7 linked regions of the Oryctolagus cuniculus genome follow. The protein of the gene in region 5 interacts with the protein of the main gene of each other region in a pairwise test. Links are inferred from orthologs where the notes say so. Each region holds a gene or a part of one and is shown on either strand. Other genes may lie near its edges.

Evidence for each region.
Region 1: the proteins of WWP2 (region 5) and HNRNPUL1 interact in binary tests that used the Homo sapiens proteins (3 or more experiments, as listed by UniProt). The link is inferred for Oryctolagus cuniculus from reciprocal best matches to the Homo sapiens genes WWP2 and HNRNPUL1.
Region 2: the proteins of WWP2 (region 5) and FBXL18 interact in a two-hybrid assay, tested with the Homo sapiens proteins (3 studies listed by BioGRID and IntAct). The link is inferred for Oryctolagus cuniculus from reciprocal best matches to the Homo sapiens genes WWP2 and FBXL18.
Region 3: the proteins of WWP2 (region 5) and ARRDC3 interact in binary tests that used the Homo sapiens proteins (3 or more experiments, as listed by UniProt). The link is inferred for Oryctolagus cuniculus from reciprocal best matches to the Homo sapiens genes WWP2 and ARRDC3.
Region 4: the proteins of WWP2 (region 5) and ANKRD44 interact in binary tests that used the Homo sapiens proteins (3 or more experiments, as listed by UniProt). The two-hybrid records come from large-scale screens. The link is inferred for Oryctolagus cuniculus from reciprocal best matches to the Homo sapiens genes WWP2 and ANKRD44.
Region 6: the proteins of WWP2 (region 5) and ENTREP1 interact in binary tests that used the Homo sapiens proteins (3 or more experiments, as listed by UniProt). The link is inferred for Oryctolagus cuniculus from reciprocal best matches to the Homo sapiens genes WWP2 and ENTREP1.
Region 7: the proteins of WWP2 (region 5) and ATN1 interact in a two-hybrid assay, tested with the Homo sapiens proteins (2 studies listed by BioGRID and IntAct). The link is inferred for Oryctolagus cuniculus from reciprocal best matches to the Homo sapiens genes WWP2 and ATN1.

The regions. Positions count from the first base shown.
Region 1 is NC_091449.1:13,345,315-13,349,246, forward strand, and holds the start of HNRNPUL1 (heterogeneous nuclear ribonucleoprotein U-like protein 1), read right to left. Parts: upstream 2,801-3,932; 5' UTR 2,475-2,800; coding exon 2,180-2,474; exon of another isoform or gene 1,947-2,179; intron 1,922-1,946; exon of another isoform or gene 1,709-1,921; intron 1-1,708.
Region 2 is NC_091450.1:39,433,334-39,437,293, forward strand, and holds the start of FBXL18 (F-box/LRR-repeat protein 18), read right to left. Parts: upstream 2,801-3,960; 5' UTR 2,661-2,800; coding exon 2,643-2,660; intron 1-2,642. UniProt on the Homo sapiens protein: Substrate-recognition component of the SCF (SKP1-CUL1-F-box protein)-type E3 ubiquitin ligase complex.
Region 3 is NC_091445.1:14,128,087-14,132,354, forward strand, and holds the start of ARRDC3 (arrestin domain-containing protein 3), read right to left. Parts: upstream 2,801-4,268; 5' UTR 2,474-2,800; coding exon 2,194-2,473; intron 382-2,193; exon of another isoform or gene 301-381; coding exon of another isoform or gene 213-300; intron 1-212. UniProt on the Homo sapiens protein: Adapter protein that plays a role in regulating cell-surface expression of adrenergic receptors and probably also other G protein-coupled receptors.
Region 4 is NC_091434.1:43,296,597-43,300,096, reverse strand, and holds part of ANKRD44 (serine/threonine-protein phosphatase 6 regulatory ankyrin repeat subunit B), read right to left. Parts: coding exon 3,476-3,500; intron 1,016-3,475; coding exon 924-1,015; intron 131-923; coding exon 95-130; coding exon of another isoform or gene 69-94; exon of another isoform or gene 25-68; intron 1-24. UniProt on the Homo sapiens protein: Putative regulatory subunit of protein phosphatase 6 (PP6) that may be involved in the recognition of phosphoprotein substrates.
Region 5 is NC_091449.1:53,024,632-53,028,131, reverse strand, and holds part of WWP2 (NEDD4-like E3 ubiquitin-protein ligase WWP2), read right to left. Parts: intron 1,770-3,500; coding exon 1,688-1,769; intron 1,160-1,687; coding exon 1,031-1,159; intron 655-1,030; coding exon 579-654; intron 345-578; coding exon 273-344; intron 130-272; coding exon 41-129; intron 1-40. UniProt on the Homo sapiens protein: E3 ubiquitin-protein ligase which accepts ubiquitin from an E2 ubiquitin-conjugating enzyme in the form of a thioester and then directly transfers the ubiquitin to targeted substrates.
Region 6 is NC_091432.1:161,049,366-161,052,865, forward strand, and holds part of ENTREP1 (endosomal transmembrane epsin interactor 1), read right to left. Parts: intron 478-3,500; coding exon 348-477; intron 243-347; coding exon 164-242; intron 1-163. UniProt on the Homo sapiens protein: Functions as an activator of the E3 ubiquitin protein ligase ITCH in the ubiquitination of the CXCL12-activated CXCR4 receptor. Thereby, triggers CXCR4 endocytosis and desensitization, negatively regulating the CXCL12/CXCR4 signaling pathway.
Region 7 is NC_091440.1:102,606,731-102,610,230, forward strand, and holds part of ATN1 (atrophin-1), read right to left. Parts: coding exon 3,461-3,500; intron 3,334-3,460; coding exon 3,220-3,333; intron 2,518-3,219; coding exon 527-2,517; intron 353-526; coding exon 130-352; intron 1-129. UniProt on the Homo sapiens protein: Transcriptional corepressor. Recruits NR2E1 to repress transcription. Promotes vascular smooth cell (VSMC) migration and orientation. Corepressor of MTG8 transcriptional repression.

The sequences.
Region 1 (3,932 bases), about 40 Mb from region 5:
TCCCGAGTCCTCCTCACGGCTGTGCCAGCAGCAGTGAGGCAGAACCACGGGGAAGCAGAGCCTATCCTGCCACTTGTTGACTGACTGGATGCTTTCTCAGAGGACAAACACATCTGGGCACAAACCTGGTGCGGCCCAAAGGGAGAAAAGTCTCAGGTCACGTGGTGCCTTACAGGTCTGTTTACCAAGGCTGAGGGAGGGTCGCAGGGGTGTGGAGGGCACTCAAAGGACTCTGGTGCAGAGGGCAGGGCGAGAGGAAGAGAGGGAACGTCATCTTCCCTGGGATGTGAGGTCCTCTCAGCCCAGCTGCTTCCTCCAGGCGCTAGGCAGTGTGTGCCCCAGAGCCTCAAGCCTCTCTAAGCATCCCTCTGGGCCCGGAGCAGCCTGCCCAGGGAGCCAAGATGCTGGGGTGCCTCTCCATCCCCTAAACGCCGCTTTCCTCATCAGCAGGCGGACCTGGGGAGAGGCCCTTCACGCGTGACTTCATTCTTAACAACCCTGTAACCCCATTTTACACACAAGGAAACCAGACGCACGGAGATGAAGCACCCTGCCCGAGTCACGGAGCCGAACCTGAAACAGTCTAGAGGCTGCGTGCCGAGGCATCCAACCACCCTGCTCTCCCGGAACTCTGCCCCACTGGGGGCTCCCACTCTACAGACAAGCTCGCCGGGCCACTTCTTCCTTCCCAGGTCTCTGCCACGCCACGCACGCTGCCAGCACCTGGGTCCTGGACAGTCACTGGGCTGTTCTCCACTCCAAATTTACACGCAGGCTGCCACATCTCTCGTGAACGAGGACCCAGTGCCAACCCCAAGTCTCCTCCATGGCCCCATTTCTCCTCTCACCTTCTCCCCCCAGCCCCAGGGTGCCCTTTCCACAGACCCCCCAGAAGCCCTGGACACCACAGTCCTTCCCCCTTAACCTCTCTTCCTCCCATCTTTGCAGTCCCAGTGCTGAAAAAAAGTCGCCCTCTGCTAACTCCAGACTCACTCTCTGCCATGCCAGGTCTCTGCTCCTCAAACAGCTGCAGGCCTACCCTAATCCCTCCACTCCCACACTCACTCCTATTGGCTGATGCAGATACTCCCTGGGCACGCAAGTAACTGCTTCTGGGGACCAAGGAACCCTCACCGGGAGATGCTGAGCCCCACCTCTCCCCCCAACAACACCCCGAGGCCCCCGGGGACCAAGTCAACAGGCTTGCCTTCTCCTTCCATTACTCACTCACTCCCCCTCCCCCATCTTCCCAGACAGCTACACACTCCCGTGCTGGACACAAGGATCCCCTGTCCCTCGGTTACTTCACCAAATTCAAGCACTACCAGCTTGCTCTCTGCGCCCGTCCTATCCCGGCTGCCCCGTTCACCAGGACCATTCAGCACAGCCACTGAGTTCCGGCCCGGAGAGCTTGCCCAGTCCCAGGCTCCCGGGTCCTTTGTCCAGGGAAGCATCTTTCCTGCCCCCACGAGCTTCAGGACACCAAGGCTCCTGGTGCCGCCTCTGGCAGTCAACCACAAGGTCCCCGGATCGCCCAGCACCCAGTGCCCAAGGTGCGCCTGCCTCTCGGCTGGCCTCCCAGCCTGGAAGAGAGGTGGGTCCCCCCGTGGAACAAGCTGGTCTCCCACATCCCCTCACGGCTCTCCGGCCAACACCAGAGCACCCAGTCCACCGCACAGACACCAGTGCCTCCATCTCATCAACCCACCTCAGGACCCTATCAGCCGCTCCGGCCAGGACCCCGGCCTCTCCGTCCCGAAGCTGGAAACGCGGCTCCTAACGCCCAGCCCACCCTGCTGCAAACCCCAGGATCACCATTTCCAAGCCTCTCCCCAAGCCCCTAAATAGAAAACCTCTTTTTCTTCCGACTCCGTTCGGTTCCAAAAACCACGGTTTCCGGTCTCCGAGCCCTAAGGTCCAGAACCCTCCCCATTCCCTGGACCCACCTCTTTTCCGACACCGACAGCGCCCACCCCCAGCTTCTCCCCCGCGCCGAATGCCAGAATCCACCCGCCGGCCGTCCCGAGGCCCCGGTCCCCAGATCCTTCGCGGCGGCCGATCGCAGGACCCCCCGATCCTCACAGCAAGTCCCCGACCTCGGGCGCCGGACTCCCGCGTCCCACAGCCCTATCTTGGCCCAGACTCCAGGCTCCCCGGCCCCCGCCCCGCGCACTCTCACAATGTCCGTCCGGCCCCGAGTAGCCGCCGGGCTCCGGGTGCGGCTGCAGCCCGGGCGGCGGTGGCTGCGCGGTCCCCTCCAGCTCGGAGCCCCCCTCGGTCTCGACCTCCTCGTTGTTGTGCCCAGGTCGCCCCGGTTCGTCGTCGGCCTCGAGCTCCCGCTCGTCGTCGGGCTCCTCGGCCTCCAGCGCAGCCTGCAGCCGGTCAGCAAGCTCGGCCTTAAGGCCGCGAGTGTCCAGGCCGCGGCGCTGCAGCTCCTCGCGAAGTTCGTTCACCTTCAGACGGCGTACATCCATGGCCCGGGCCCCCGGGGCGGCCCCCGAGCCCGGCCCGGCCTCCCAGGGCTCTGTCCCCCTTAAACCTCTCCTGTCAGGAGGCGAAGGGGGAAAGGGGGGGGGGCTACTCCAATGGCGGCGGCGGCTCAAAATGGCCGCCGCCGCCGCCACCTCCCCCTCCCAGTGCGCCGTACGATGCAACACGGGTGTCAATTGGCCAGCGCGCGGGGGCAACGGGCGCGGGCCCGGAGACTCAGCCAGTTAGAGCACAGTTTTCAAAATAACGACAGTGAGAGGGCCTACGAGCAGCCAGGGAGGAAGCGTTGGCCTACGTCGAAGACGCGGCCCAAGCGGAGGGCGGGAAAAGGCAGAAGGCGGAGCGCCAGCTGATTGGATGGCGCCCGCGCGCCCGCTGCTGTAAGGTCGAATGAGAAAAGGGGAGTAACGATTTAGTCCAATCAACCTTGGGCTCTCAAAATGAGCGCCCCCCCCCCCCCGCCTTTCCTGCGAAGTCCTTTCATCGAGCTAAGTGTCTTTGCAACACACATTCTGATTTGTCTACATCTCCCGCCCCTTGAGGAGTACGAGCGGGTAAAGTCACTAGAACCAATCAAAACGAGGGTCGGTAGAAACCCCTCCTTCCTGTTGCCTTTAAGAAACCGGAAAGAGAAAAATTCACGAAGGACCCGCCCCTTGCCGTTAGGGCGGTTTCAAAACAATCTGTCCACCAATTGCATTTATTGTCTCATCTCACTGAGGGCCGGTAGAGATGGGTCGCTTGAGGAAAAGCTAACAGGATTGGCCGTTTTTCAGAGGCTTGCCTCACAAATTTCGCCGTAGAGGGAGGCATATGGAGTAGATATTAAACAGATATATTATTCATAATCTGGAACTCGGCTGTTTTATTATTACTTTTTTAATGAAAAACGGAACTTTGGCGAGTCCTGCAGGTTTGATACTAGAGGCTAGGCCAGCGACGAGAGAAAAGTTGTCAAGGAAACCGCGTGTCCATCCCCTGGCCAGCTCGCCTCGCGGGGCCTCTGTCCGCGACCGCAGCCTCGCGGAGGCCGTGGAGCCGCCCCTCTCCGGGTAGAGCCCCGCACTGAGCGGCTGTCCCCTCCCCGACCCTCTGCATGGCTGTCCGGGGCACCTGGCCGACGGGCTCAGAGACGCGGATCGGGCCTCCCGCTAATAAACACGGACGCCCGAGTTCCCCGGCGTCTAACGCCGCGCCACCTGTCGCCTCTAACTCAAACGGACAAACCCGGAGTCAGACACACAGCCGAGGCACGCAAGGCCCACACCCGCCACACTCCAGCGGAGCAGACAAAGGCGCGCGCCGCGCAGATACACCCCCAGGCTCGGGTCGGATCAGGTGCAGCACACCGGCAGCGCAGGTGTGCCCGCGAAGCTCCGCGCGGCCGGGCGGCCCCACACCGCACCGACCCAGCGGACAGTGCCACTGCAGCCACCCGGACA
Region 2 (3,960 bases), on a different chromosome or scaffold from region 5:
AAAGAAAAAAACCTGAACTGTGGGGCCCACGATGTGGCACAGTGGCTAAACCCCCATCTGCAACACCAGTGTCTCATGTGGGCACTGGTTCAAGTCCTGGTTGCTCCACTTCCAATCCAGCTTCCTGCTAACACACCTGGGAAAGCAGCGGATGATGGCCCTGTCACCACCGACATGGGAGACCTGGACAGTACCTGGCTCCTGGTTTTGGCTGGGTTGCTGCAGACATTTTTTGTTGTTTGTTTTGTTTTGTTTGTTTTTGACAGGCAGAGTGGACAATGAAAGAGAGAGAGAGACAGAGAGAAAGGTCTTCCTTTGCCGTTGGTTCACCCTCCAATGGCCGCTGTGGCCAGCGTGCTGCGGCCGGCGCACCGCGCTGATCTGATGGCAGGAGCCAGGTGCTTTTCCTGGTCTCCCATGGGGTGCAGGGCCCAAGCACTTGGGCCATCCTCCACTGCACTCCCTGGCCACAGCAGAGAGCTGGCCTGGAAGGGGGCAACCAGGACAGAATCTGGCGCCCCGACCAGGACTAGAACTCGGTGTGCCGGCGCTGCAAGGTGGAGGATTAGCCTAGTGAGCCACGGCGCCGGCCGCTGCAGACATTTTTTAAAAGACTTTTTTATTTGTTTGTTTGTTTGAAAGACAAGGTGGCAGAGGAAAAGACAAGAGAAACAAAGACAGACATAGATCTTCCATCTGCTGGTTCACTCCCTACATGTCCACAACAGCCTGGGTCGGGCCAGGCTGAAACCAGGAGCTCCATCCGGGTCTCCCAGATGGGCAGCAGAGACCCAAGCAGTTGGCCCATCATCCACTGTTTTCTCGGGTGCAGTAGCAGGGAGCTGGGTAAGAACTGGCGCCACAATGCTGGCCCCTGTTGCAGGCATTTGGGAATGAACCCACAGATGGAAGACATGTGTCTCCCTATCACTTTGCCTTTCAAATAAATAAATCTTGAAAAAAAAAAAAAAAGACACTAGGAAAGATGTCCACATTCCCTGGTTCACTGCCCAGCTGCAAGCCCAAGTGGGGAGACCCGGATGGGGTTCCTGGCTCCCGGATTCATCACAGGCATTTGCAAAGTGAACCAGGGATGGGATTCTGTTCTCCCTCAAATAAAGGGCAGAGGGAGCCGGCACCGTGGCTCACTTGGTTAATCCTCCACCTGCAGCGCCGGCATCCCATATGGGCACCGGGTTCTAGTTCCGGTTGCTCCTCTTCCAGGCCAGCTCTCTGCTGTGGCCAGGGAGTGCAGTGGAGGATGGCCCAAGTGCTTGGGCCCTGCACCCGCATGGGAGACCAGGAAGAGGCACCTGACTCCTGGCTTCGGATCAGCGCAGTGCGCCAGCCGTAGCAGCCATTTGGGGGTGAACCAATGGAAGGAAGACCTTTCTCTCTGTCTCTCTCTCTGTCTATAACTCTACCTGTCAAATGAAAAACAAAACAAAACAAAACAGCAGAAAGGAGAACCTGCTTGGGGAGCCCGGGTTGGAGTCCCGGCTCTGCCTTTGACTCCAGCTCCCTGCCAATATGCACCCTGGGAGGCCCCAGACCACGCGCAGCCCGAGTACCCGAGTCTCCCTCACCCACCGGGACCCCAGACTGTTTGAGGCTCCTGGCTAACAGACACTCGGAGGCTGAGCCACAGACGGAGGTGTGTGTGCGTGTGTGAGTGTCCTTCGGATACACAGACAGAAGTTTCTCAAGTGTCAATCACACAATGAAAGAACTATATCGCAATGAATGGGCAAAGCTTCCCAGAGGCCGGGGGCGCCGAGCCACACCAGGCTCCCATCTTTCCTCCACCCAGGAGAAGCCCCCGGGGCAACCCGCAGGGCCAGGACGCGGCAACACCCAGCTGACAGGCCCCCCACGCCCCCCGCCGCACCCCACCGCCACCAAGCCCGATCCACCGACCCGGCCGGGCTGCCCCAGAGCCCCTCCCCAGCGGGCTCTGCCCCGGCAATTCTGTCATCCCTCTGCAGCTGGCCCGCGTACTGCTCCTGACAAGCGAGGGGCCATTTCCGAGCCAAATTCAGTCCAGATAAAGAGGCGCCGGCAGCAGCCCCCAGCCGTCTTCCCCTCCACTCTCCGACTCCTTCCCGCTCCCTAGAACTCGGGCAAGCCCCTGAGACCCACGCGGGACGGTCTGAGTCCCCGAGTGACAGACAGAAGCAGGGGCGCACACAGGTGGGCAGGAAGCCACCAGGGTCTCCAGGAGACCCCCGATTCGCGGAGCGGCCTGGAAGGGGCCCCAGCGCGAGTCCCGAGCCTCCAGGTGAAATGGCTTTTCCTCCACTCGCGCCAATTCAGAGAGGAGGAGGGCGGCGGAGGCCAACGCAGCACCCGGAGATGCACTACGCGGGTGGGCAGTGGGCACGGAGCGGCCGCGTCCCGGACCCACGGCGCAGGAGCGCGGGGCCGGGGCCTGGGGGCGGCCGAAGAGGGCCGGGGGCCGGCCTGTGCCGCCAGGGGCAGCGCGCGGGACGGGGCAGAGGCCAGGGAGGCGAGGTCAGGCCCCGGCCGAGCAGAGCTCGGGACGGGCAGGACCAGCCGGGCAGGGGCCCAGAAGGCAAAGGAGACACAGGGTGGCCGGGGCTCGGGGCGGGCAGCGAGCAGAGCCGCCAGGCGCGGGCCCGTACCTCTCCGGAGCTCGCCATGTTGCGGGCCGGTCGGCCGTGTCCGCTGGAGCCGCGGCCCCGGGAACCGAAGCCGGCCCCGCCAGGGATGCTCCAAGCCGGGGCGTCCGCGGCTCACCAGAGACCGCGGCCGGGGGCGGGGCCTCGGCCACTTCCGGCGCCCGCGGAACGCACTTCCGTCCGCGCCCGGGCGGGCCCTCGCTCGGCGGCCATGTTGGGTGTGGCGCTGCCCGGGCGCGGAGCAACCGAGAAAGCCGCCATTGGCTTCCGCCTGCTCGCAGGGCTCGGTCCCCAGCTCCCCTGCGCTTTGCGCGCCTCTCTGCAGCCATCCTGGCCTCCTCCTGCGGTCCCGGACCGCTGCCCCTGCCCACTGCCTGCTGTTAGCAGCGTCAGCCACAGCCTCCCTGGGCCCCCGGCCCGCGCGCGTCTTCCTGGGGCGCTGCACCTGCCAAGCTGCTGTTAGCGTTTCGTTTATACCCCCCCCCCCCCGTGCTTGACCACAGAGGCAGAATCTGCCACCTCCCTGCGTGGCTCAGCCCTGAGGGAGTATTTGCTGGACGCCCTTGCTGCTAGCATTTGCCTGTAACGGGGTAGTGTATGAATTAAAAAAAAAAAAAAATTTTTTTTTCTTGTTTAAATCATTCCTGGAGTCAGAAAGAAGTGCGTTTGGTTTCGGTGCAAAGTAGCGCGAAGCCTGGGCCGGGGCCCCCGCACCCCACATCCGAGTGCCCCTCCGAGTCCCCGCAGCTGGCCTTGGGATCCAGCTCCCTGCCCGCGCGCCTGGGGAAGCTTGGCCCTGAGCCCCTGCACGCACGTGGGAGACACAGATGGAGCTCGCGGCTCCTGGCTTCCGTCTGACCCGGCCCTGGCTGCTGGGGGCACCTGCGGCGTGAACTTGTCGATGGGAGATGTCTCTCCCTCTCTCTGGCTGTGCCACTCTGCCTTTCAAATAATTCGGTTTTTAATTTTTTTTTTTTTAAAGATGGTGGGGCTGTTGGCACAGTGGGTTTAACCGACACCTCTGGCTCTGGCACTGGCCCTGGCTCAAGTCCCGGCTGCTCCACTTCCGATCCAGCTCTCTGCTAATGCACCTGGGAACCAGTGGAAGGTGGCCCAAGTGCACGGCCCCTGCCACGCATGTGGGCTCCTGTGGGCTTGGCCTGGGTCAGTCCCTGGCCATTGCAGCCATCTGGAGAGCGAACCAGCAGACGGAAGACCTCTCTCCCTCTTCTCTGTCACTGACTTTCCAATAAATAACTCTTTTAGAAAAGTTTAATAAAACAATTTTAAAAAGAAGACCGTACATGTTCCTAGGGCACAC
Region 3 (4,268 bases), on a different chromosome or scaffold from region 5:
GCCCTGGCCAGCCAGTGCCAGACTCCCCCTCAGGTCACGTCAAGGTAGCCAGACTGCTGACTGGACAGTCGGCACATGTCTGTGGCAGCCGAGAGGAAAGGGAGCCACTCCGACACGTCGCCCGCGACCTCGGGGGTCCCGCTCGCTCTCCTCACGCCAGCCCCCTCTACGAGGGTCTCTGGCCAAAAGTTGCGCCCAGGGCGACTCTGCACCTGTGAAAGCCGGCAGCGGCTGGCGCCCCGTACGAGGCGTCCCCCTCGTGGCCCCAACAGGCCGGAGAGAGGGACAGCAGCAGGGCATGCCGCGACGCGGGCCCCGGGAGCCCACGGAAGCCCGGGAACGCACTCGCGCGAGCGCGGGCGGGGGCGGCCGCTCGGGAGGGACCTTTACCGGCGCACGCCGGTTCCAAGCCGCGCCCCAGCCGGCCGGAGCCCACTCTCCCCACCCGCGCCGGCCCAATCCAATCAGCGCCCGGCATCGCCTTAGCAACAGGCTAACAAACCTGGCCCCGCCCCTCGCCGGCCGCCCGGGGCGGGGCCTCCGCTGCCAGGCTCGTGTGAGAGCTCTCAGCTAAAGTCATTGAAACTACTCCAGGCAGAAGCTCGTCCACGCGTGGCCGGCTTCGGGGGGCGCCCGGCTGGGTGCGGGGCGTTCGGTTTTCCTCACCACGAAGTCGAGGTGCAGCTAACGACCTTGCTTTCCGCCCCAACGCATTGTTCTACTTTCCCTTCACTGCAAGGCTCAACTCTTGAGAGAAAAACCTTTTGTTTCTTCTCATTTTATAAAAGGCTCGAAATCAAACTCGCGTGTGCGCTTTGCAGCACACAGCAGAACTGTCATCAGGCGCTTTGCATTTCCTATCAGAGTTAACGCTTGGGAAGATGAACTAGAAATTACTTCAAGATGCAAAACCACCTAGGTGAACTGTGGAAACCCTGCCGAAGAACTGATTTCACCTGAGCATTTAAAAAAAAAATGCAATAATGCTGTAACTCAACGCTTCCTTTATTTCTCCCTTCCCTTAATTCAATTAGCATTTCCCTGGGATGTATATCTTGAATATAAAAACGCAGATAAAAGCGAGCCTCTTTCTGAAAAAGTCAGCATTTGCACTAAATACTGCATTAAAAAGGAGAAGCACAAAATTACATAACCAGTTTTAACATTATATTCTTCTTGGGCTAGAATTAAGTCATCGCCACCACCTGACGCGTGTAACCAATCTGCTGAGAGCTGCACAAGCGCCCCTCCTCACCACCCCCCAGAACTGGTCCGAAACAGGATTGAACCGCTTCTAACAAAGGGTGGAAACTTAGAAAAACAAGCTTAGAGTCTCCTATATTTCCACAATGTAGCCATCTAAACAATAGAGGGGAAATCTCAGGACCCCCTCTCCCTTTGACAACCCTCCATCTCCCCCTTCTAACCAAAAATCAAGTCCAGTGTGCGGTCTACTTTTCAATTCCATTGGACTGGCAGGGTTTCATTGAATGCACGTTCCAAAGTTAGACATGATGCTTGGAGAAGAAACTGCTGGCCCTGAATGGCTTCTGAACCTGACTGAACACCGGCCACGGTGATAGATACTGTCTTTTAAAATAAGGAATGCTTGATGCAAAATTCCCAAAGCATTGGAAAGAAGAGGTTAAAAAAAAAAAAAAACACGTGGGGTGTTGGTAATACCATATGTCAAAATAAGCCAGGGAAACCCTCTCTCAAAGAACAATGATCAATTCCTTATAAAGTCCTTTGCACGTTAATATTAAAAGGAAACACATCTACTAACCCTCCTAAAATGTTATTTCATTCCTTCCTTCAAGCTCAGGTTTTGAGCTAAGGTTGCAAAGAAAAAGGAAAAAATTTTAAAAATCTGATGCCGGACCGCAGCTTTCATCAATTCATTTGAAAACGTAGCAGTAAAATCATGGACTCGGAGGCAAGCAGAATTTCCGAGTGAGGTGCAAATGGACCGCAAGTGCGTATGGCACAGCCCGAGCCGGGTCCAGGGGTGGTGGAGACGAGGTGCAGTTTGCAGTCGCTTTGCAGATGCCGGCACGCATTACAGCCTCCCGTCAAGGAGAACCCAAACCTCGCAACTTTGCTAGCCTCCAGCAAACGGCCGAGCTACGCTGCGAGAACCACGTCCACCCGAGAAAGCCAGCCTGCAGACTGCCGAATGGTAGGAAAACTTACCTCTTTCGTGCCCAATTAAGATGTCTTTATGGTTGAAGTATTCTACTTCTTCGGTGTAGTTCTGCGTGTAGGCAGTATTGGAGCCGGCGTTTCTAGACTCCGTCCAGCGTACTTTCGCATGTCCTCTTGCATGAATTTTAAGCGATTTTACTCTGATTTCCCCAGTAACTTCTAAATTCACCCTTCCTGAGACAGTATCCCCGCTGGAATACACGGGGACATTGCTGTCATTCAGACAGTCGAAGCTTATTGTCAAATTCTTCACCTTCCCCAGCACCATGTTGATAACAAAAATCTATAAAAAATATAATGTAAGACCCCCAAAAAAGTCAAGATCGCATATAAAATGGGATCTTCACTCAACACTGATCGATGCTTCTGCCGTGCAAAAATGCAAACCCTTGCAGGCAGGATCAGTAGCTCCTTACAGACAGTTCATTGAGAGCTCTTAAAAGTCAGGGCAGCAGAGAGGCTGCGGCGGCGGCTCCGCGCGCCCGCCCGTCTCAGTGGTCTCCTTACAAAGACGGGCGGCCGGAGCCTGCCAGCTCACTTTAAGAGCAGCTTTGTGAAAAACAACCCCAGTGCGCACGCGCACGCCGCCGCGGCCGCCGGCCCCCCGGGCGCGCGCCCCCGCCGCGCCGCGCCGCGCCGCGCTCGCGCCCTCGCCGGGCACGCGCGCGGGTACAGTAGGCGTGGAGCCGGGGAAGCCGGCACGGGCGCTGCCGGGAGGCCCGGCCGGACTTCGCTGCATTGTGGGCTCCCATTGGCGGGCGGGCTGCCGGAAAGCCCCGGCGTGCTCCCCGGAGCCGCTGGCCGGGCGGCCTCTGACAGAGCGACCGCCGGCGGGGCGCTGAGGGACCGCGGGCCGCGTGGAGGGGCGGCCGGGCCGGCGCACGCGTTAGCGGCGCTGCGCGGATTCGCCCGCCGCCTGCCTGGGAGGAGGAGGAAGGGGGAGAAACCGGTCGGGCCAGCGGCTGGGTGGCTGAGCCTGAGCTAACGACTTTCGGGAGGAAAAAAAAAAAAAGTCCTGAAAACCGGGCCAGGAATCGTGGTCACAGACGAGAGCAGTCTCGGCGTGGATTTTATGCGCGTCCGTAGATGGCTGTAGACGGGGTGGAAGTGAGCTCCCTGGAGGCCAAAAGGGGGCCTGCGGAGCGGACGCCCTAAGGCAGCGAGGAAGAGGCGTAGGTCCCGTCCCCTCGGGGGGCTGTGCCGGCTCCGGCTACCCCGAGCGAGTCGCTGGCGACGTTGGGGGCAGGCGGCCCGCTTCCCCCGAGGAAGCCGAGGTCCTTGTTAGGGACGCCAGCCGTGGCCGGAGTCAGGGTGCAGGGTGCGCGGCTGCAGCCCTCGCGTCCACAGTGCCACCTTGCAGAAGGCAGGTGGCACGGTGGCGGCTCGGCGCACAGCCTTGGTGGGGAGTTGCTGGAGCGCGAGCGATGGTTTGAAGGAGCGAGATGCAGCGTGTGGAAAGCATAATTCTTAGCATCAGTGAGGATGCGGATTCTGCGGAGCCGCGGTTGTCCGCTGGACTGTTCAGCCTAGTCATTCCCGTGCATCCTAATAGGTACATTTGTCTTTTTTGATTGTGAGTGTTTCGGTAAGAAATAGCAGAGCCTGCGTCACGCCCCACTGGGATGCAGAGTGTAACAGCACAAACTCGTGTAGATTACTGGCCTCCGCAGAGCTGCTGTCAGGAGAGCTATAGAAAGACAGAAAAAGATGGGAATCTGAAGCCACATATACGTAACCAGGAATTCTTGGGAAGGTTTTTGGCTACGGCTGTGTCCATACGTTTTAGATTCTTCTGCGTAGTATGTTTGGGTAGATGGAGCCCGGGAGTCACAATAAATGATACTCGGCCTTGCTGTTTTGGAGGAAGTGAAATTTTACTGGGTTGGGTTTTAGTTGACAAGGCAATGTCTAAGGACTCCGGAGCAATAATCTGGAAAGGGTAAATCTGAACACGGTTTGGACGGTGAGTGATGCCGTTTATATGAGTTTTAAGGTTTAAAAATAAGAATTTGTGTATTTCCGTATTGGAAAATTCTCCCCTTCCTCCCCCCTTGGTTGACACC
Region 4 (3,500 bases), on a different chromosome or scaffold from region 5:
ATGTTGGGGATGGAGCAGGGTACATGCTGGGTAAATGGGGCTGCAGAAACAAAACTACTAAGAGTTAGCTACTGATGGCAATATGGCTGCTTACTTCTGAGAAATAGGCATGAGCTGCTAATTCCAATACCTGTAATAAGCAGTTAATTGAGTTATATTAATACATTATAATGCTTTAATTAAATGCCACAATTAATGCCACATTTTTAAAAATCACTTAATTCATAAATATCCAGAAGTTCCTCTTTTGCTCCCCAAGGTTAATTAATAGGTGTTATGCTTAAATGGTAGCTTAGTACAATTCTAGGATTCATTAGTTTTCAAAATTTCTTAGGAAGCAGAGTAGAAAGCTTCTGTTAAGAATCAGCTCGTTTAGAAAAGAAGCATTATATAGATCAGGAGAAGCTTTCAAGCCTGGACACTAATTAAAATTTTTATTCATGTTCCCTAAATTTCCATACTGGGAATATGAGTTCTGATCTGGACTTTAAAAAAATGGTTTGATCTCAGAATGAATTGAAATACAATCAAAAACCTAGGTTTTTATCTGAGCCCTTGAGCATGCACTAATGACATGTGTAATCCCTAACTCTTCAGTGTATGCAGTTAGAATTCTGAATGCCAAGTTGGAAGTTTTTTTTATTTTAGTGAGTCTAAATGATTTTAACCACCACGCTGAGGAGTTAGAGACCAACTGCTGACACATGCAGAATGGATAGCACTGGTGGGCTATAGGTGGACCATGTGTTTTACAAAATGACAGACAGGACAAATTAACCTTGCTGGACTTCTCACACACATGGGACTTTCAAGAGGGAGAGAATTATTACTGCCTGTTCATAAGCTCCAACCTCTCTCATTTTCCTCTGGCTTCCATCGGCATATGGAAGACACAGGCAGTAATGTTTATTTTTTCCACTTACCATTTTCATCTACAGCAAGCACACAGGCTCCTTTGGCCAGCAACTCCTCGACTACCACCTTCAAGCCATTGCGTGCAGCAATGTGGAGGGGTCTAAAAAACACAGCATCAAGCATCACCTGGGACACATATTTGTGTGATATTGGGGCATTCTAGTTAGCCTATCCCACTAAAAGGAAGACTTAACAAGATATTTATACATACACTGCATCTCAATCCCAATGTCAGTAACAAGGAAGATAGAGAAAGAACACAGAACACACTGTATCGGGTTCTTGCTTGATTTCTGCCATAGCCTTGAATCATTGTGGCACACAGGACAGGCATAGACATTATCCATATATGTGCAGGTACTTAAAAAGTTCATGCAACAATAGAATTAAAAGACAAGCTTTTTTTTAACGTTTGAAAATTATTTGAGAAGTAGAGGAGAGAGGAAGAGACAGAGACTGACTCCCATCCATTTGTTCACTCTCCACATGCTCACAGCAGCCAGAGCTGGGGACAAATTCAAGAGCCAGGAACACAGTCTTGGTCTCCCACATGGGTGGCAGGAACCCAAATGCTTGAGCCATCACTGCTGTCTGCCAGCCTCCATGCTACCAGGAGTTAAGAGATTCAGCCAGGAATGGAACCCAGGCACTTTCATAATCATTAAACATTTGCTCTAATAAGCTTATTTTGGTACAAAAAAAAGTTAGAATATATGCACAGTTTTAAAATAACACACATATTCCATGAACTTTTTGAAGTACCCTTGTATATAATCTCAAATCTTATTATTACTAAAAGTACACAGATGTTTTACTGAATTCATAATACCTTAAAAAATAATGTTAACCTCTGCATACAGCACTATGTACTACCTAAGAATCTTAAATGGAAAAATAAATTCCTAATTGTCCTTTGTCTTTAAAACAAATGCATAAATAACTTTCTAGAATGGAAAATAAATCAGGTTTGAGATCTTTCACACCAAGGGTTACACTGAATCATATTAAAATATAATTGAGACAGGCCGGCGCCGCGGCTCACTAGACTAATCCTCCGCCTTGCGGCGCCGGCACACTGGGTTCTAGTCCCGGTCGGGGCGCCGGATTCTGTCCCGGTTGCCCCTCTTCCAGGCCAGCTCTCTGCTGTGGCCAGGGAGTGCAGTGGAGGATGGCCCAAGTGCTTGGGCCCTGCACCCCATGGGAGACCAGGAGAAGCACCTGGCTCCTGGCTTTGGATCAGCGTGATGCGCTGGCCGCAGCGCGCCAGCCGCGGTGGCCACTGGAGGGTGAACCAACGGCAAAGGAAGACCTTTCTCTCTGTCTCTCTCTCACTATCCACTCTGCCTGTCAAAAAGAAAAAAATATATATATGTATATATATATATATATATATAATTGAGACAAATAGCTTAGAAACTCTTCAAATGTATTCTGGGAACCTGATTTATAAAACTGTCATTTTCCAGTTAGAATACATAATGCTAATATATAATACTAATGTGTCCATAAGCCTATATGATTTTTCTAACAGTCTGCTAAAATTATATTACTATAGAAGTATCAGCAAAGAAAAACACAGACCTTAAAAAATGCTATGGCAGCGTATCAAAAAGAGGACTCTAAGCAAAACTGCCTAGCCAGGTAAACAACTGTGGGTGGGCAACGGTCAGCATCATGGAGAAAAATCCAGGTCTGCCTTTCTCACTGCTGTGCTCCCCTATGCTAGCCTGACACACAGCAGGCTCCTAATACTTCTCGAAACAATAACTATGACTCTGGGTTCAAGTAAGACTTTAAAAGTTACTTACGGCTGGTGCCACAGCTCAATAGGCTAAACCTCTGCCTTGCAGCACCGGCACACCGGGTTCTAGTCCCAGTCGGGGTGCCAGATTCTGTCCCGGTTGCCACTCTTCCAGGTCAGCTCTCTGCTGTGGCCCGGGAGTGCAGTGGAGGATGGCCCAAGTGCTTGGGCCCTGCACCCCATGGGAGACCAGGAGAACCACCTGGCTCCTGCCTTTGGATCAGCGCGGTGCGCCGGCCGCAGAGCACCAGTCATGGCGGCCATTGGAGGGTTAACCAACAGAAAAGGAAGACCTTTCTCTCTGTCTCTCTCTCTCACTGTCCACTCTGTCAAAAAAAATTTTTAAAAATAAGTAAATAAAGCCGGCGCCGCGGCTCACTAGGCTAATCCTCCACCTAGTGGCGCCGGCACACCGGGTTCTAGTCCCGGTTGGGGTGCCAGATTCTGTCCCGGTTGCCCCTCTTCCAGGCCAGCCCTCTGCTGTGGCCAGGGAGTGCAGTGGAGGATGACCCAGGTGCTTGGGCCCTGCACCCCATGGGAGACCAGGAAAAGCTCCTGCCATCCGATCAGCGCTGTGCGCCGGCCGCAGCGCGCCAGCCGCTGCGGCCATTGGAGGGTGAACCAACGGCAAAGGAAGACCTTTCTCTCTGTCTCTCTCTCTCACTGTTCACTCTGCCTGTCAAAAATAAATAAATAAATAAATAAATAAATAAAGTTAAGCTGGCTTTAAAAAAAAATAAGTAAATAAAAGTTACTTACGTGTGCAGTGCATTATTTTTTGCAT
Region 5 (3,500 bases):
GCGGGCTGGCAGCCGGGGCGGCGGCGACGCCTGAGCTCACCTGGCGATGCCTCCGTAGTCCAGGCCCTCCTCGCCACGCATGATGATGTAGAGCCGGCGGCGCAGGTCGTAGGGCTTCATGTTCATGATCTGGGGAGACAGAGCATCGTGGCCCGCCTGCCACTCACCCTTCCACGGCAGGAAGGGGTAGGAGGGATCTCAGGCCCGCCCCCTCCACAGACACGGCCCCCAGGCTCATGGTCATAACCTGGGCACCGGGCTGATTCTCTAACCTGCTGGAAAGAATCCTCAAAAAGGGTCTGCCTGGAGACGCTGATCTTCACGTGGCTGGGCAGGGCATTGGACTGGGAAGAGAAGAGAACGCCGCACACTGAGGCCTCCGGGTGACCGGCCTACCTGGTGCGCACCTGCCAGGGTAGGCGGCCCGGCCCCGAGGCTGTCACGTGAGAGCCTGGCCCCGTGGGGACAACCAGCTGTGGTGGCACACGCGCAGTCCTGTGCCCACGCTGGGCTGGGGAAGGAGGCTGAAGTGACTCGATGCCCCCACCTGCCGCGGGAGTCCCGGGAGCACAACTCACGTGGCAGAGGAAGCGGAACTGGTGATACTTCCACCGGAAGCTTCGGTCGTAGGCACCAGGGGAGCCTTGCTTCGTCCTGGAAAGGAAAGGTGTTCCGGAAGCCAGGTGAGCTCTCGGGAACTGAGCGACCTGTCTCCATTAGCCCAGCAAAGCTGATGCCGTGTTAACTTAAAGGCGAGGAGTAAGGAATAGGAGAGAAGGGACTGCCAGTGAGGCCTCTGAAAAGCCAAAAAACAGAATCCAGAAACGACGACAGAGTCCTGCTCTGACAAACACCAGGCAGCCAAAGGCGGGGAGAGCCCTTGCTGCCCGCGGCCTTCAGCTTGCCATCAGCACTGGCCGCTAGGGGGCAGTAAGCAGCAGAGCACGTCTAGGGGTCCCCACTCCGTCCAGCAGTGGGCCTCCCGGAGCCCGCGTTGACGGGACACTGCTGGGCGTCCTGACATCCTTACCCCGACTCAAACCCTGGCCGAGGATCCTTAAAGGTGGTGGTGCGGGTGTTGTGGTCCACGAAGTACCGCACGCCCTCGCTGGTATACTTCATCTCCCAGCCCGGCGGCAGTGCCGGCTCCTGGATCATCCTGCAAACAGGAGGGACGGGGTGAAGGCCAGGCCCCGCATTCCGGGCCCCAGTGCACAGGAGGCCGGGGTCTCCCAAGTGCTGCTTTGTCTCTGCTTTCACCCAGTGCTACACAGCCCTTGGGGGTACAAGGGGGATTTAGGATATGCACTTGGCATGATCCAAGTCATGGGTGTAAAGAAGCCATCTTCTATCCCAAGGCCAAAAATCCAGCCCCGGGTGGACGGCGGTGGCTGAGTGCCCAGGCCCTGCACGTTGGCAGTGCTGGATGGACGTACCCACAACCTCTTTGTGATCAAGTTCTCAGCAGCCAGTACCAGCGGCATACAGACCAGCGACAACCGCCAGCGGAAAGGTCTACTTCAGGGACCACTTCCAAGCTCTCAGAGGCTGACACTAGATGGGGAGATGTGTGTGGCTAAAGGTCCCCAGCAGGAGCCCTGCAGGACAAAGTGGTCCAAGGCCACTTGGCCAATGCTGGAGCTGCACACAGGCCCAGCCCAGCCCCCTTCACTCCCAAAACCCTTACCCCTGGGTCCGAGGGTCTTCCCACTGGGTCGTGCGTGTATTATGGTTCACGTAATACACCCGGCCATTGTCCTGTCTCTTCTCTGCCATGGGAGAAGAAAAGAGAGGGAACAATTAAAATCCAGCAGCTTGAGCTGGGGCCATCCCGCAGCCCCGGCTCCTGGGTGCTGCGTCTGCTTTCCTGTCCGACACCAGCCTGCTGGAGAAGCGGACCCGGCCACTGGGAGACAGCACAGAATGGTCCTTCCCTGGTTGGGGTTGGGGCAGGGGCACGGACACACACACTGCAAGGGGAAGAATCCCGCACCTCTCTGGTTGTTTGCTTTGTCAGAGGAAGGGGGGCGGTGTGGCGACACAGAGGGGGCAGCCGGCTGAATCCAGGCATAATTGCATCCAGCTGTGGCAGCAGGGACGCCCTCAGCCCCAGGCCCTGCCCCACCCCGAGGCTGGCGCAGGCGGGTAATCCATCCACTCCAGGCAAGTGGGAGAGAAAACGAGGGGCCAAGGCCCCAGACCCAAAGGTGGTCACCTTTCCAGGAAAGTCCTGGGTTTCAAATCTGTTTCCATCCTGAAAACAAGGGATGTGGATGGTTCTGCCCCTTTCACAGTGAAACGCGAGGGAAGAAGTCGGACAATCCTCCCTCCCCAGAAGCTAAGGGGCACACGCGGGGGACCAGCAGCCCCCACTCAAGAATCGGGCTGCAATGGTCCCAGCGCCAAGCCAAGGGCTGATCCCTCTTTGCCTTATCTGCTCTCTCCTACTCAACTAGAATGTCCCAAGCACAAGCACTATTTATCAATCACACTCTAATAAAGCTGGAAAAACAAGTAACATAAAAATAAAAACAGGCAAGGAAGCACAGGAGGTGCAGGGAGCTGCGGCAGAGCTGCCGAGGCGGCGTGCAACTGACCTGCAGGGGAAGCTGCCCGAGAGGGTCCTGCCCGCCCGGGAGCCCCTGCTCCGAACTGTACGCCCTAGGGCCGCTCTGCTGAGGACTGAGTGGAGCCTAGCGGGGGTCTGGCCCGGCTGTCCAAGCCCTGGGCCGTTTTCCTGGCACTGCACAAATGCTGCCATGACACCTCTCCTGGCCCACAGAGCTGCCTGCGGGAGCTGGGGCAGTCTCCAGAGAGTGCCGAGCTCAACCTCACTTTCAGGAGCAGGCGGGCCGGGGCGGATTTAGCCACGAGCGAGCAGCAGCAGACGGATCTAAACCTGAGGCATCCCAGCTCCCACGGCAGTGCCTGGGACAACCATGGGTCCCAGGAGCTGAGTGCCGGAGGAACGCCGGCAGACCGACAGCATGCTCGCCACCAGTGCCGGCTCCTTTGGCCCCGCTGCCCTTCCTGCTCGTCCTTTCCCATCCCTGGGGAGGCGGCCTCCCCCACAGCCCTGGGGAAGCAACACAGAGGAAAGCCCCCGGCCTTTGGGCAAAGAGTTCTGTTTCCCGGCTGTGCACCAGTACAGTCTTATGGGTCTTTTCCGATCGCTGGCAAACAGCAGTGATTCGGCTTATGGCTTCCCTATTCTCATCTCAAATATTTTCCCTCTGAGCATCTGGGAGTTGTTTTCCAGACTCTTTAGTGGCTCTCACTTGGTGACCATCGTTCAGAACTGGCACCGAAATAAACTCACTTGACCGGGCTACACTACCTGCTTCTACAGAATCAGAAACAAACTCCAGTCCCCCAGTTTTAGGTCACCGACTACCAAATGGCATAACGGATTCTTGTTTAACCCGGCACGCTTTCCCCATGGCTGGTTTAGGTAGCGATCCCAAGTGTTTACCCTTTTACATCTGACTTACTACTAATCT
Region 6 (3,500 bases), on a different chromosome or scaffold from region 5:
GGGTGGGATGCCAACATCGCAGGGGGCAACTTAACCTGCTATGCCACAACGCCAGCCTTACTCCAAGAATTTCCGACCTCTAAGAAAATAGCAAACTGGTTATTATTTTGCTGTGCTTTAATCTACTGGATCATGACGTGGGACAGTGATGACGCGGGATTACCTTGAGTCACTTGGGCACAGACCACTTCCAGCGGGCTTGTAGCAGTCTCTGTCCCTTCTGGAATCCGGAATGCGGGTCCCTGAACAGCGGGACAGAAGAAGGTTACTGTGCTGCCGTCAGCTTACCCGCAGCAGAGCCCCGTGAGGCCCCCGGGGTGCTGCGTGAGGGCTGCGCAGCGCCGTACCTGCTCCCGGTCCATCTGGCTCACCACCGCTTCGTATGGGGGCGGCGGGTCCAGGGGACAGAACACCTCCACGCCTTTGATTCGTGCTCCATAGATGTGCGGCACGGGGATGATGTCAGAGGCGGCCATCCTAGGAACAGCATGGCGCCGCCGTGAGGAAGCCCACTGTGCGGGCGGCCATCGGCCCCTTAGGACGAGGGGCGCTCCCCGGTCCCCACCTCAGCCACCTGGTCCGCCCCACCCCTCCCTCCGCCTCCACAAACGCCAATCCACGGGACAGAAAAGGGACCAGGGGCTCCCTGGGGCTTGGGGAGGGCAGGAAGGGGCGTGACTGCCACTGGGTAGGGGTCTCCTTGGAAGTGAGGAAACGAATGAGATGGAGGTGTTGGAGGCATGGTGCTGCCACTGAATTCCACACTGCAAAGGGGTTAATTTCCTATTACGTGAATTGCTCAACACCGAGGACAGCTTCTTACAGTAGTACCTGAGCAGTTTCTCGTCCCTTACACGGCAGACTCACCGTTTGCCAAAGAAATACCTGAAAGGTGAGTTAACATAAAGCAAGAAGTGAACCACGTCCCAGCTCGGAGCCGGGGCGGGGACAGCAGGCGCAGCCACGGAGCTCCCCCAGGAGCTGCCCGCCAGGCCCGCCCCGTGGACAGGGGGCGCTCTCACCCACAGGGCTGCGGGCAGGGGCAAGCCAGGGGCTGCGGTGGGAAGCACAGGTCTGTACTCTGCTGGCTCCTGAACCCAGCCCAGGTGGCCAATAGGCTGGCACTCATTTGTAACAGGAACCCCACCACCACCAACAGAGGGAGAAGCACACCCAAGAGTGGAATGAACAAGGGGAAGAGGTCTCACAGCTGAAACAAACTATGTGGGTGCAGAGAAGCTGAACCTCAGGGAGAAGCCCACTCCATACCCTGCTACCTTAACCAGAACCGCAGCCGCTGTTCTCTAGGGTCAGTGAGTTTCTCCCCACAGCCTCCTCCTCCCCTCTTCTCTCTCATCCCCTCTCCTTCTCCCATTCTGGGCCTGGGAATACATGAGGATTCTTTATCGCTCACTGTTTACATTTGCTATATTTACCAATTCTTCATCATCTACAAATTACTGACGTTTAGACTTCCAAACTGCCTCCACCACGACCCCTGACTGCTTCTTAGATAATTTTCTGGGGGAAAGGGTTGTTTTTTGAGGGAGTTTTTTGTTTGTTTGTTGTCCTATGTGTGACAGACCCTCAAGCAAATTTTTTTTTAAATCTGGAAGATTTCCTGCCAATGTTCATGGATAATTCCACAAAATAAGAAACTAGATAATGAAAAACATGAAATTTAAAATAATTACTGCAAAAAAATACACACAAAAATCCAGAAAACCTTCATTCTGGCTATGGAGCATTAGAGAATGAAAAAAAAAATAAGATAATAGCAAAAGTATAACATCTGTTCTTGAGATACAAAAAAGGGAAAAACTCAAAGAGCCTGATAAAAAGCCGGATTCTGGGGGTCAGATGCATGCAGGTGACTGAATTTATGATCACTTCATTTCCTTCTTTGTGCTCATTTGAAGTCTGATGGGTGGAGGCAAAAAGTTGAAAAAGTTGTGATGGTCTTTCTTCCTAACAACAAAGTTCTGGAATTCTGGGATTTAAAAAAAATGAGACTTGTGCAGTCTGAAGGAAAACGCAGGAAAGCTCTGCCCCCTTTTCCTGTACGTTCCTCTGGTCATGAACCACACACATTCCCTGCCTGACCCGAAAGGGAAGGGAGAAGGTTCTGGGTCAACAACATACACCTAGCAAGTGCAGCCTCCCATCCAAGGAGAAGTGGCAGTCATGGGGCGGGGCTCCTGGCAAGAACAGCCTGAAAGACATCTGTTCCTCTACCTTGGTCCATCTTCTGTTGCTTTAGCAGAATGCCTGGGACCAAGGGATCTACGAAGAAGTGAAGGTGATTTGGGCTCACAGTTCTGGAGGCTGGCAGTTCAAGGGCATCATGGTGGCATCTGGCAAGAGTGACAATGGCTGCAGAGTGAGGGGCCACATGTGGAGGACACAGCACCAGGGGCAGTGTCACACTGTAACAATGCGCTCTCCAGGGGACCTGATCGAGGCCTGCCAGATGAACCCAGCCCCAAAAGAAAGGCAGGGGCCCCTCCCAATGACCCACACACCCCAGAGGCCCCACCTCCACACAGCACCACCAGAGCACACAGGCTGCAACATGAGTTTAGAAGGGACAAACCCCATCAAACCACAGCAACTCTGAGAGCAGGACTTGCCCATGGGTTTCCTCCAACCAAGGCCATGAGCGATTCCAAGAAGCCACTCTTCTGGCCCTAACTGGAGACTGCTCACCAATGACTGACAAAGTTTGTTTCAACCAAAGCGACCTAGGGGCTCCTTCTGTCCCCTCCAAAGGGCCCGGCTGCAGCCTTTAATTAGCATAACCCCCATGAACCAGCCTTCCAAAACTTAACAAGCCTCAGCAAACAACACAGGCATTGCTTCCCCGCTGTGGGCCTTAGCTAGAGAGTGAAACCCCCAGCGCTGCCTGCCTGACTGTGGGATAACCCTGCCAGCTTACACCCGAGCTGGGGTGACCTGGGCCTTGCTGAAGGCCACAGGCTTGGAAGAACAGGTCCCATGTCAGATCCTAAACCATCGCAGAATCTCTTCCAGGGGAAACGGGGTGCTTTTTCCAACCTGGCTGCAGAAGGAATGACGTCACAGTGGCCATCCCCAGGACCAGAAGAGCCTCACTGTGAGCAAGGCTGCTTCAGCATCAACCAAGGAGAGTCTTTCCCATTAAGCAACTTCTCATTTTACTGGTGAGTTGCTGGCTTTTGCTCTGATCCCCTGTCACTCCCAACCCTAGCCATGGAGTCCAACCCCTCTGGGAGGTTCTAATCCCAAGATTGGCCTGGGCCTCCCCTCTAGGAACCATCTCTCACTGCCTGTGGTGGGGCCCAGGTCTCAGTGTGGTCAGTGTTCTACAAAAGGCAATGGGCCACGGGGCCGGTGCCATGGCTCACTAGGTTAATCCTCCACCTGTGGCACTGGCACCCCATATGAGCACCAGGTTCTAGTCCCAGTTGCTCCTCTTTCAGTCCAGCTCTCTGCTGTGGCCTGGGAGTGCAGTGGAGGATGGC
Region 7 (3,500 bases), on a different chromosome or scaffold from region 5:
CACTTCCTGGACTGTAGTGGCTCCTCCTCTCCGACAGGTGGCGGTAACTCCCCCAGCCTCCCAGACCCGCTGCGCAGTGACCAGGAGGGAGGGATAGGGGGCGGGCGGCGCACCTCGTGACGCACTCACCACGCTGCGCTCGAGCTCGCGCTCCTTCTCGCGCTCGCGCTCTTTCTCACGCTCACGCTCCCGCTCTCGCTCCTTTTCTTCGCGCGCGCGCTGCTCGGCCTCGCGCCGCACCTTCTCCACCAGGTCGGCCCGCTTCTTGGCCAGCTTGGAGCCCTCCAGCGGCACGAAGTATAAGTCGCTGCGCGCGCACGAGTTGAAGCCGCGGTCCAGGTGTTTGTTGAACCTGCCAGGCGCGGGAGGTAGCGCAGCTGAGCCCGCGCGAGCGAGCTGCTGCCCTCAAGGGCCGTTTACGGTGTCCTTTTACAGAGCACCGCGAGACCGCCAGGCCCCTACCACGTCTCCCTGCTCTGTCCCCCATCCCAACCCCACCTGCACCCCGCCCCGGACGCCCGCTCACCTGGCAGACTGACTGGCATGGCTGGGCATGTCTACCACCTTGGGAGGGGGCGAGGGGCTGCGGGCCGGGGGCGCCGGGCTCTCGGGGGACTCATACTCCTCCGCCGGCTCCTGTTTGATTTGCGCGGCGTTCAGGGTGGGCCCTGAGTTAGGGGCCGCAGGTGGCGGCGGCAGAGATGACAGGTTTGAGGGCCCCGCAGGTGGCAGGGGCCCGGGCCCCACCGTAGGTGAGCCTGGCTTGAAGGTCCCCGGGCCGGCAGGCGGTGAGGCGCCTCGGTAGCCCGGAGGGGTCCCTGTTCGGAAGGAGGGCGGCGACCCCGGCTTGTATCCGGGCGGGGTGGCCGTCTTGTAGGCCCCTGGGGACGGGGCTCTCTTTCCGTACGGTGGCGGCCCAGGCGGGGAGGCCGTTTTGTAGCCTGCTGGCGAGGAGGCCACGGTGGCGATCACCGTGGAGAGGGTAGCAGAGGTGGTGACCGGGGGCCCCGGTGGGAAGGGGTAGGGCGCGCCCTGGGGCCCCTGTGAAGGGGATGGATGTGAACAGGGGTAGGAACCTTGAGAAGAGGAAGAGGAGTTGGAAGAGGAAGAGGCTGGGGGGCCGTTGGGGCCTGCTTGGCTGTAGGACACCTGGTTGTGGGGTGGGGGCAGGTGTGCCGGCCCTGGGGGATAGGGCCTCAGAGAACCCAGAGAGGGAGACATGGTGTAAGGGTGGGCGTGGTGGGAGCTGCTGCTCTCCAGAGGATGGGGGTATGCGCCCGGGGGAGGCGGCCCGGAGCTGCCGTGGTGATGTTGTTGCTGCTGCTGCTGCTGCTGCTGCTGCTGCTGCTGCTGCTGGTGGTGGTGGTGATGGGCTGGGGCTGGTGGGTGGGCAGTGGACTGGCCCCCAGAGGAAGGCGCGAAGGGGCCAGGATGGGCATTGCTGTTGGCTAAAAGGCGGCCATATGGGGGAGGGGGAGGAGGTCCCTGGCTCCACACGGCCTGGGATGGGAGAGAAGGCTGAGTGTACTTGGGTGGCTGATTGGAAACAGAGAGGCTTGTGGGAGGGGGGAAGGAGTGGGGATAACTGGGCAGTGCCTGGGAGGCTGGGTACTGGGGGGCAGAGTTGGAACTGGAGGAGACTGCCACAGAGCTGCTGGAAGAGGATGAGTAAGAGTACCTCATTGGGGGGGCTGGGGCGGAGGAGGAGGATGCAGGGGGCAGAGGGTGGGGCGAGGGCGCCAGGGCCGGGCCCTTCTCTGGGCCAGGAGGAAGTCCACCCATATTCTGGCCCATGGCGTGGGGGGAGGGCAGATGCCCAGGTAGCGGCTGGGCCCCCAGGCCAGGAGGAGAAGCTGATGCATTGTTGAGAGGCCGCAGGGCAGGTGGGGGAGGCAGGTTTGGTGTCACGTGGGGGAAAGTGGCGGGTGGTGGAGCAGCGGGCAGATTCCCACTACCCAAGGGAGTGGTAGGTGGCTTTGTTGGGGGAGCACCACTGGCCCCAGAGCTTGATATTGAAATGGGGGTAGTGGGTGGAGGGTGCTGCTTTCCCCCACCAGGGGCTCCAACTGAAGAGGCAGTCCCTCCCCCTTTGGGACCCATTGGAGGTCCGGACAAAACCCCTCCAGCAGCACCCCCAGAGTAGAGCTGTGGGTGAGGGGGAGGAGCCCCAGGAGGAGCCTGGAACATTCGAGATGTGGGGGGCTCCATGGGAGCATGGTATCCAGTGGGTGTCACAGGATGGGGTTCAAAGCCAGGCTCTGGCTGCCGGGGGGTGCTGTCTGGTGGTGCAGGGGAAGGAGGAAAGAGTGGAGGCGGGTGGTAGGGGCGTGCTGGCCCCTGGGACAGGCCAGAAGACGAGTCGGAGTCATTCTCCACACTGCCAGGGCTGTAGATGCTGGGGGACGTGCTTCGGTTGTCCTGGTCGATATCCCGAGGGTCACTGCTGCCGTCGTCATTGAGGCTCCGCCCGTCCAGGCTGTCCAGATCCGAGGGAGACTGTGGCCGCGGGAGCTCCTGCTGTAGGGAAAGCCATTTTTGCCTCTTTTTTCAGTTCCTGTCTCCCAACAGCGGGGCCTCTCACAGCACATGACGCACCGACTTGTGAAGAGTGTTCCTGGTCAAAGGAGAATCCTCACTCTCCTGGCATCCTCAGGCGCCCCTAACAGGCCACCTGTTTCCCTCCTTGTACAACCCGACTCCCTCTTCCAGTGTCTACCCCACGCACCCTCCCCACCCACGACTGACTCGGAATCCCTGTCCTACACCATCTCACACCCACCCTCCTCTCCTGTCATCATCCCCAGACCCTTGGTGCTTCTTACAGGACCACTTCTGTGTTTCCCTTGGCTTACGTGTTCCTCTCACTCAGAGGCTACAGTCCCCCAGAGGCCCTGCCTGCTCCTCTAGCAGTCAAAGCCCTACATCTGCCTGACAGCTCACAGGACCACGCTGGTAGGCACGAAGAGATGGCTGTTCTTATTTCCCAGGAGGCTTTAAGGTAGGAATGGTGAGCTAAAGAAACTTGAGGAAAAGAATGGTCACAAAACAGGGGCCAGTGGAACGGGTTAAGCTGCCACCTGCAACACCAGCACCTGTGGAAGCTCTCTCGTCTCTCTGTAATCCTGTCTTTCAAATAAATAAATCTTAAAAAAAAAAAAAAAAAAAGAAGAAGAAGAAGAATGGTCAGAAAGCAGGCCAGAGGTCAGAAGGGTCCCCCACCTCAGTTTTGGTCTTTTTTGGTGCATTGGTCTCCTCACTTTCACTCTCTGAGATCTCTTCACTCCGGCCCTGCTTGTTGACCTTTGGGGTGGAGGCTTCCTCTACTCGGGCCTTCTGTGAGAGGGAAAGAGAAAACTCTGTCTTCCGCCTCCCAAGCCTCCACTGGGCCTGCTCTGCCAGACAGGAAGTCCCCCACAACACCCGCCCCCAGCATGCTGCGGGAGGACCTGAGCACAGATACCTTGGCTGTCTGCCTGGACTTCTCGGCTTTGCCGTCACTG